Mus musculus: one gene and its partner. The protein of the gene in region 2 interacts with the protein of the main gene of each other region in a biochemical or structural test. Links are inferred from orthologs where the notes say so. Each region holds a gene or a part of one and is shown on either strand. Other genes may lie near its edges.

Region 1 (3,794 bases), on a different chromosome or scaffold from region 2:
CACAGTCAACATGGATTTCCTAAAACTTTCAACATCAAGCTGAGTAATATGTCCTGAAACTTTTGCTTGATTCCATTGCTATTTACTGGGGGGTTATTTAATAAGTAGGTTCTCCTCTATAGATTCTAGTGAAAAATTTTAAGTGGCCACAGCTCATCAGTGAGGGGAAATACACACACACACACACACACACACACACACACACAATTTTCAAATTCATTTTTGGAGTGGATGCCTGAATTTACCTTTCTTCCGAAAGTATCTCATCAACAAGTAGAGCAATGAGGACGATGTCAGGAGTGAGGTTCCTGCCGCAGAAAGTGCAACTACCAAGGGACGGGTGGGGCTGACTGGGGCTGAGGAAACAAATTGGGAGGAGACAGTATAAGCAACACTTGGCTTTCGAGTCTTTCGGCCTTGCCGTTTGGCCTTTTCTCTGTATATTTATTACTATCAGCAGAAGATTTATTACTGTCATTGAAGATTTAATCAACTCCTCTCAAACCGCCGTTGAGGCTGCATATCGTGCTCCCAGTTAGGACGTAGCCTTGTAAAGCTCTTTGGCACTACGTCACGTCACCATACCTCGGTTAGCACTGAACTACCCCTGCCTTCTCTCACACACACTTATTTCCTGCTCCTCCTTTTGTCTCTAGATCTCCCCTTTCCAATGATCAGAATCCCACTTCGAGGGAGCAGAAACGGGAGGTATAACGGGAGAGAAAGGGAGAACAGAGAAGGACCAAGGAATAAATCATAACAGCGGGGGTCAGTGGTGAGCGTTGGAGAAGAAAGGGGGGTGTCAGAGAAGAACAGAACATTCTACCTGGTCCACAGACATCATTTCCTGTTGTCTTTTTATCCATCTCTATGACCTACCATTCTGATTTGGACATAATGGACAGTTAGCTTCCTTAGCAACATAACACCCCTCTTCCCTCTACTCCCCAAGGCAACCACCATCCATCAGTGCCTTACCTTCACAGGTAGGCGGCATCCCAGACCAGCGTCCCGTGGCACCACACGTCAGAACTGCAGATCCATTGAGTGTCCAATCATCAGGACATGTAAACTCACACACTGTGCCGAAAACTGCTGTTCCGCTGCAGCTCATGTTCATCTTTCCCGGGACGTCAAGGCTTGGACATTGTACCACTGCAAAGGACATGCCCATAGCGGAAGTCAAGAAACCCATACCACAAAACCACGGAGTTGATGTGTGTCATGAGAGTCTGAACTCAGTGTTACCTTGGCAGGAGGGGACTTCCTGGGTCCACTTTCCCTGAGATGTGCACTCAAGTTGAGCTGAGCCATGCAAGCTAAAGCCCTCATTGCATTGAAAGGCACATGAGGACTTGTAGGTGAATTCTCCAGTAGTAGCATGAGCACACTCCATGACGCCATTCTGGGGCCGAGGGACATCATCACATTTCACAGCTAGAAGAGAGAAGCCATTCCAAGATATAAGCATTGGGCTATAGCAGGTGTCACAGGGTAGCCAAGCCACAAAGATGTTCAATAGCTTCTATCTTACAGTAAAATCTAAAGTATGTCTGCAGGGGCCAGAGAGATGGGTCAGGGGGTAAAGGCATTTGCTACCAATCTTAGCAACTTGAATTTCATTCTTGAGACCCATATTATGGGACCCACATGAAAATCGACTCTGACAAGTTGTCCTCTGACTTCCACATATGGGTCTTGGAGTACACACACAGAGAGACAGAGAGAGACAGAATGAGAGAGACAGAGAGATAGAGAGAGAGAGAGAGAGAGAGAGAGAGAGAGAGAGAGAGAGAAATAGTTTTTAAAAAGCATGTACCTGAACACGTGGGCTTCTTGCTATCCCATTCCCCTCTTGGACCACACTGAAGTCTTCTTGATCCCTTCAGTTCAAATCCTTCTTCGCAGGAGAACTCACAACTGGACCCATTTTGGAAAGGTCCAGAAGCACTGGGAAGACATTTCATGTTGCCCTGCTGTGGCGCAGATAAGGCTTCACACTGGACAGCTGAGAAACCAGAGAAGGGGCGAGAAAACACCATGGTGAGACTGGAGAACACCTGTCATTTGATGGCAAAGTTCAACTGGCACAAGGCTATGAGTAAGGAACTCAAGATGGATCTTCATTGTGAATTTCTGGCAAAACGGCTGTTTCCTATGTGATACACATATTATATCTCCATGATAATGATGCCTAATTCGAGGCAACTATTAGCAAGAATATGGTCCCTCCATGCTGGTCTGATGTGCAGAGTGAGGTTAATGGGATTTTACATCACTGAAGAGCATGGCACGGGCCGTGACTGCTTCCACGTGCTGCCAGAAGAGGAAAGAGACGAAGCCTTCCATGCAGGGTTTGCCTGCTCTTGGCATGAGTTTGGCGTTGTGGCATTTTTGCCCCTGAAACTCACTCAATACTAAATTTAGCTCTAATGATGCCAGAGCTGCATAATGAAAACTGCTCACCTGGACATTCTTGCTTTTGCCGTAAAGACAATTACACTGTATTGCTTCTATGTCTGTGTCAAAACAATCCTTGTAGGTGACAGACACCAAGCTGGGGCTACTGTCATCACTGCTAGCTTGGAACTTCAGAAGTGGGTGATACAATGTGAGGGCTGAGCAGTACCTTCATTGTACTGAATTTTACATTTTAAACAGGATTTCTCATACGTTACTAATTCTTACTCTACGCCAATGCCAGTAAATTAATATTTAATATACCCTACTTTATAAACAAGCAAAAGAAATGTTACTTGCATCCAGTCGTGCTTCCTGGCTATGTGTTTTGTTTTTAAGTCAATGTCAGAGGTATTTCTCTTGCCCTCACGATTGGTATCATAGTTAACAGACGATACCTGATGTCATCGCCAGTGGCCAAGATGACAGGTTTTTTTTTTGTTTTGTTTTTTTGTTTTTAAAGAAATGAAAGCGTTAGAAGAGACAGTTTCTTACTCACCTTTGCAGACTGGGATTTGTGGTGTCCACTGCCCTTGTGCGCTGCATTCAACCTGCGCTGGCCCCTGCAACGTGAAACTCTGCTCACAGGTGAAGTTACAGGATGACTTAAACGCAAGTTCTCCAGCTGTTGAGTGGCTGCAGCTCACAAAGCCATTCTGAGGCTGAGGGATGGCGTCACAGGTCACAGCTGTAACACAAGCACCCATTCGCATTAGTAAAGCTGGCTTGCCCATTCCAAGCCTTGGTTGAGGAGGAGAGTTCGATGAATCTCAACCTGGAAGAACCCTACCTTTGCATGATGGCGTCTCGTTATCCCAGATGCCAGATGAGGTACACTGTAGATTCTGAGCTCCAACTCGCCTGTACCCTTCCACACAGTCAAACGTGCATGTCGTGTTCCATGGGTAGCTCCCAGGATTTGAGGAACATTTCCTGATACCGTGGGCAGGGTGGGTCAAAGCTTCACATTCAACCACTGAGGAGATGAAAGAGAGGAGAGAGTTTTACTCAAAGAAAACAAATGCTTTCATTTTCTCTTGAATTAGTGTTTGTCAAAGAAGATGAGACCATCTTCAAAGGGCATAACCCAAACTCCTGTGCCAGTTATGGATAACAGATCCATAACAGATGCTTAAGTCTTTACTACACTATTCACATTTTCATCTTTTCTCATTAATTTTCACTTTAACTGTGCTGGGTGGTCTCAGATCTATTTTACTACACATGGAAACAACAACAACAACAACAAAACCCATAGCCTCTAGATCAAGATCCAAGACTCACCCTAAAAACAATATTAGCATACAAAAGACCTAAACAGCGAATCTTTTCGA
Region 2 (3,822 bases):
TATGCAGAGCTAGCATTAATGTGATCCTGGGTAAAATTTTTTCTTTGGGTTGGAGAGATAGCTCAGTGGTTAAGAGTACTGACTGCTCTTCCAGAGGTCCTGAGTTCAATTCCCACCAACCACATAGTGGCTCTCAACCATCTGTAATGGGATCTGATGCCTTCTTTTGGTATGGTTGAAAACAGCTAGAGTGTACTTACATAAATAAAATAAATAAATCTTAAATTTTTTTCTTCAATTTTACTCCCAAATAACATTTGATTATATAGGCATCATGATTAGAGGTTCTTCCCTGCCTCCCTTTTTGGTTTGAGGCAAATATATTATTTTTTACATTTATTTATTTATAGTGTGTGTGTGTGTGTGTGTGTGTGTGTGCGCGCGCGTGCGCGCGCTGGGGGTGGGTGAGTGTACTATAGCATGTGTGTGGCCAGAGGACAACCTGCAGAGATTGAGTAATCCTCCCTCCAATCATGTGGGCTCTGGGATGAACTCAAAGTCATCAGGCTTGGTGACATGTGCCTTTACCCTCTAAACAATTATGCCAGGCTTTACTTGATTTTAAGATGGAGTATGACTGTGTATTCAGACTGGCCTCAAACTTTAAATCCCCCCCCCCCCCCCCGCCTTAGCCTTCTGAGTGCCATCATGTGCTCTCACACCAGTTTATTCAAATATACTTCATGTACTTAAACAAAGGTGTCTCAATTCATCAGTCATTAATACCCAGAACGTCTCAATTCATCAGTCATTCATACCTCGATAAAGGCAATTCTGTAGAATCAGAGTTTGAAAATATTTGGGAAAAAGAAAAATGTGTTTGCATTAACTATAGACAAATGATTTTGTAACCATTATCCCCTAAACAATATAACGTAGCAATTTCGTTATAGCAGCACCTCATCTGCATTATGTGAGGTATTTTAAGAGATCTAGACACTATTTAAAATTCACAGGAGATGGGGGCTGGTGAGATGGCTCAGTGGGTAAGAGCACCCGACTGCTCTTCCGAAGGTCAGGAGTTCAAATCCCAGCAACCACATGGTGGCTCACAACCATCCGTAACGAGATCTGACGCCCTCTTCTGGAGTGTCTGAGGACAGCTATAGTGTACTTACATATAATAAATGAATAAAAAAAAAAAATAATAAAATAAAAAAAAAAAAATCACAGGAGAAATTGCTTAAGTTATACACAAACACCGTGCCATTTTATATAAGAAACACTAAGTTTCTCGGTGTTTGAGTATGTGGGTAGTGTTTTGAAATCAACCCTTTGTAAATACCACAAGAAAACTATATAAGAACATGTCTGTGAAAGCTGGGAGTGGTGGCGCATGCTAACCCCAGCACTTAGGAGGCAGAGGAAGGAGGATCAGAATTTCAAGAAATTCCTTGGTTCCATGCTGAGATTAAGGCCAATTCGGGCTATGAGACTGTATTCCAGAAACAATCACTCAAACCTAAACCAAAAAAGGAAGCAAGAGTTTGTGAAAGCTTTATGAAATTAGTAAGACTTAGTTCTTTTCAAAGAGGTACCTTTTCACTCATGGATTCTTCAAACTTATGGTTAAATAGGCATTTATACACTCTTCCTTCACCAGCTTGTGTCTATAAGATAAAACATACATATTATTACTATTAGCTAAGTAGTTTTGCTGTGATATATCCAGTCTTATACAGAACTTTTATTAAATACACTGTTAATTCAAAAACTCAAGGACATTATCAGAGGGACTCTCTTACAATTTGATACCACAGTCAATAAAACTTTATAATCAGTGGCTCTGATAGTTAATTTTAAAATTTCAAAACAGCAGGCAGAAGGGGAGGGCATACGTGAGTCAGAAAAGACAGATAGTGCTAAAGTGTATACAAAGATCAGGGATCCAGCATGTATAAGGTACTGCATTCAATCTGCAGCACAGAAAGGAAAGAAGGAAGCAAAGGAAGAAGAAAAGCAGGAAGGAAATGTAGACAGAGAAGAACTAAGAGGTGTCTAATGAATCATCAGGCTCTATCCAAGGACTTGGCTTTAACATTAGATAATTTCTCTTTCCCTTTTGTTGTTTGTTTGTTTGTTTGTTTGTTTGTTTTGAGACAGGGTTTCTCTGTGTAGCCCTAACTGTCCTGGAACTCACTCTGTAGACCAGGCTGGCCTCACAAGAGCCACCTGCCCCTGCCACCACATCCAGTCACATCTATTTTATTAACCTTAATCAAAACCATATAAAAATGTAATGTAACAGAGCTTTAGCCATAGGATATGAACAGGACTTCCTGGTAGAGTAAGGTTCCTATAGATAAAATAGAGTTTGTTTTTTCTGTTTTTCTTCAGACAAGGCCTCTGTATGTAGCCCTGGCTGTGCTGGAATCCCTTCTATAGAACAGAACTGTCAAACTCAAGATGTGATAGCCGCTGCTCCTCAGTGCTGGGGTTAAAGCGGTGTCCCACCTCTGCACCACAGATCAGTCTTCAACTGACACCAGCATGGTGGTCTACACCTTTAATCATAGCATTTAGAGAACAGAATCAGATGACTTGAGACTAGCCTGGTCTAAATAGTGAGTTCCAAGACAACCAGGGCTATACAGAGAGTATAAAAACCAACCAACCAACCAACCTAAAAAATGAAAGATGAGGGAAAGAAGAAAAAATAATGTATATACTGAGTGTCAGAAACAAATTGTTAACTTGAAGTTACATCTTCAAGACTGAGCATCAATACTATTTTTTGTATCTTGGGATTAATTCCATCTTCTGCTTCCGTTGTTTTCCTATTGGTGAAGGTTGTGCTGGTATATTTCATTCTGGAATACAATAATACAGATACACTTGAAAAGAAAGGAAAAACAGCTTTTTAGTAACTCACATTCTCGCAAAAGCGCTCCCGATCATCTCGGCAAGCAAAATACAAATGCCGGTCTAAATGAAAGTCATCCGAGGACAGCTCAGCCACCCTAAGAATGGCTTTCTTGCAGAGTTCTGAGACTTGAATCTTCGGCTCTTTTTCTTCTGCCTCTTTTACCAGGCCTTTTTCCAAACATGATACCACCTCACCTTGTGAATGTGCATCCTAAAATAGCAAAAATATTTAAAAACTTTCACCCTACAGTATTCAAATAAACATTTAGTTAAAGAAACGGGTGCAGAGAGACTGGACAGATAGCTCAACAGTTAATGAATTAGTATGGTTTAAATGTTAGGATACCTCCTCCCCCCATTAAAGCGGTAGGCTTTAAATTTTTAAATTACATCAGTTATTTAGTTTTGTACATGTATAGCTAGAAAAAATTGTTTGTTTTTTTCTTTTTTTGAGACAGAGTTTCTCTGTGTAGACCTGGCTGTTCTGCGCTTGCTTTTGGCAAGAAATTCATGAGAAAATAACCTATTGTTACAAGCACAGTTTATGTGAATACTGAAATAATACTGCAAAAGTACCTACTCATTTACCTCTAAGAGTTAGATATTTACAAGTTAAAGTGCTTTTATAGTCAAGTTTGAAAGACAACTGATGGGTCTAGTGGGTAAAGGTGATTTGCCACCAAACCTAATGTTCTATATTTAATCCCTGGTATACACATGAAGGGAGAGAAATGACTCCCCCAATTGTCCTCTGATCCTCATGTGTGCCAACACACACACACACAGACAGACAGACAGAGACAGACACTCTGTACTTAAAAACAAGCCAAGCACTGGGATTACTTCGATTATAGGTATGTGCCACTATCCCAGGCTATTGTTTTTTTTTTTCCAAAATAAAAATGTTTGCAAAGGTACCCTGAGTTTCTTCTGCCCATTTAGTAACTGAATTATATA

Evidence for each region.
Region 1: the proteins of Glg1 (region 2) and Sele form a complex in vitro, tested with the Homo sapiens proteins (2 studies listed by BioGRID and IntAct). The link is inferred for Mus musculus from reciprocal best matches to the Homo sapiens genes GLG1 and SELE.

What each region holds. Positions count from the first base shown.
Region 1 is NC_000067.6:164,051,179-164,054,972, reverse strand, and holds part of Sele (E-selectin precursor), read right to left. Parts: intron 3,437-3,794; coding exon 3,251-3,436; intron 3,149-3,250; coding exon 2,960-3,148; intron 2,517-2,959; exon of another isoform or gene 2,009-2,516; coding exon 1,820-2,008; exon of another isoform or gene 1,438-1,819; coding exon 1,249-1,437; exon of another isoform or gene 1,156-1,248; coding exon 979-1,155; exon of another isoform or gene 953-978; intron 357-952; coding exon 246-356; intron 1-245. UniProt on the Homo sapiens protein: Cell-surface glycoprotein having a role in immunoadhesion. Mediates in the adhesion of blood neutrophils in cytokine-activated endothelium through interaction with SELPLG/PSGL1. May have a role in capillary morphogenesis.
Region 2 is NC_000074.6:111,189,652-111,193,473, forward strand, and holds part of Glg1 (Golgi apparatus protein 1 isoform 2 precursor), read right to left. Parts: intron 3,077-3,822; coding exon 2,873-3,076; intron 1,611-2,872; coding exon 1,539-1,610; intron 1-1,538. UniProt on the Homo sapiens protein: Binds fibroblast growth factor and E-selectin (cell-adhesion lectin on endothelial cells mediating the binding of neutrophils).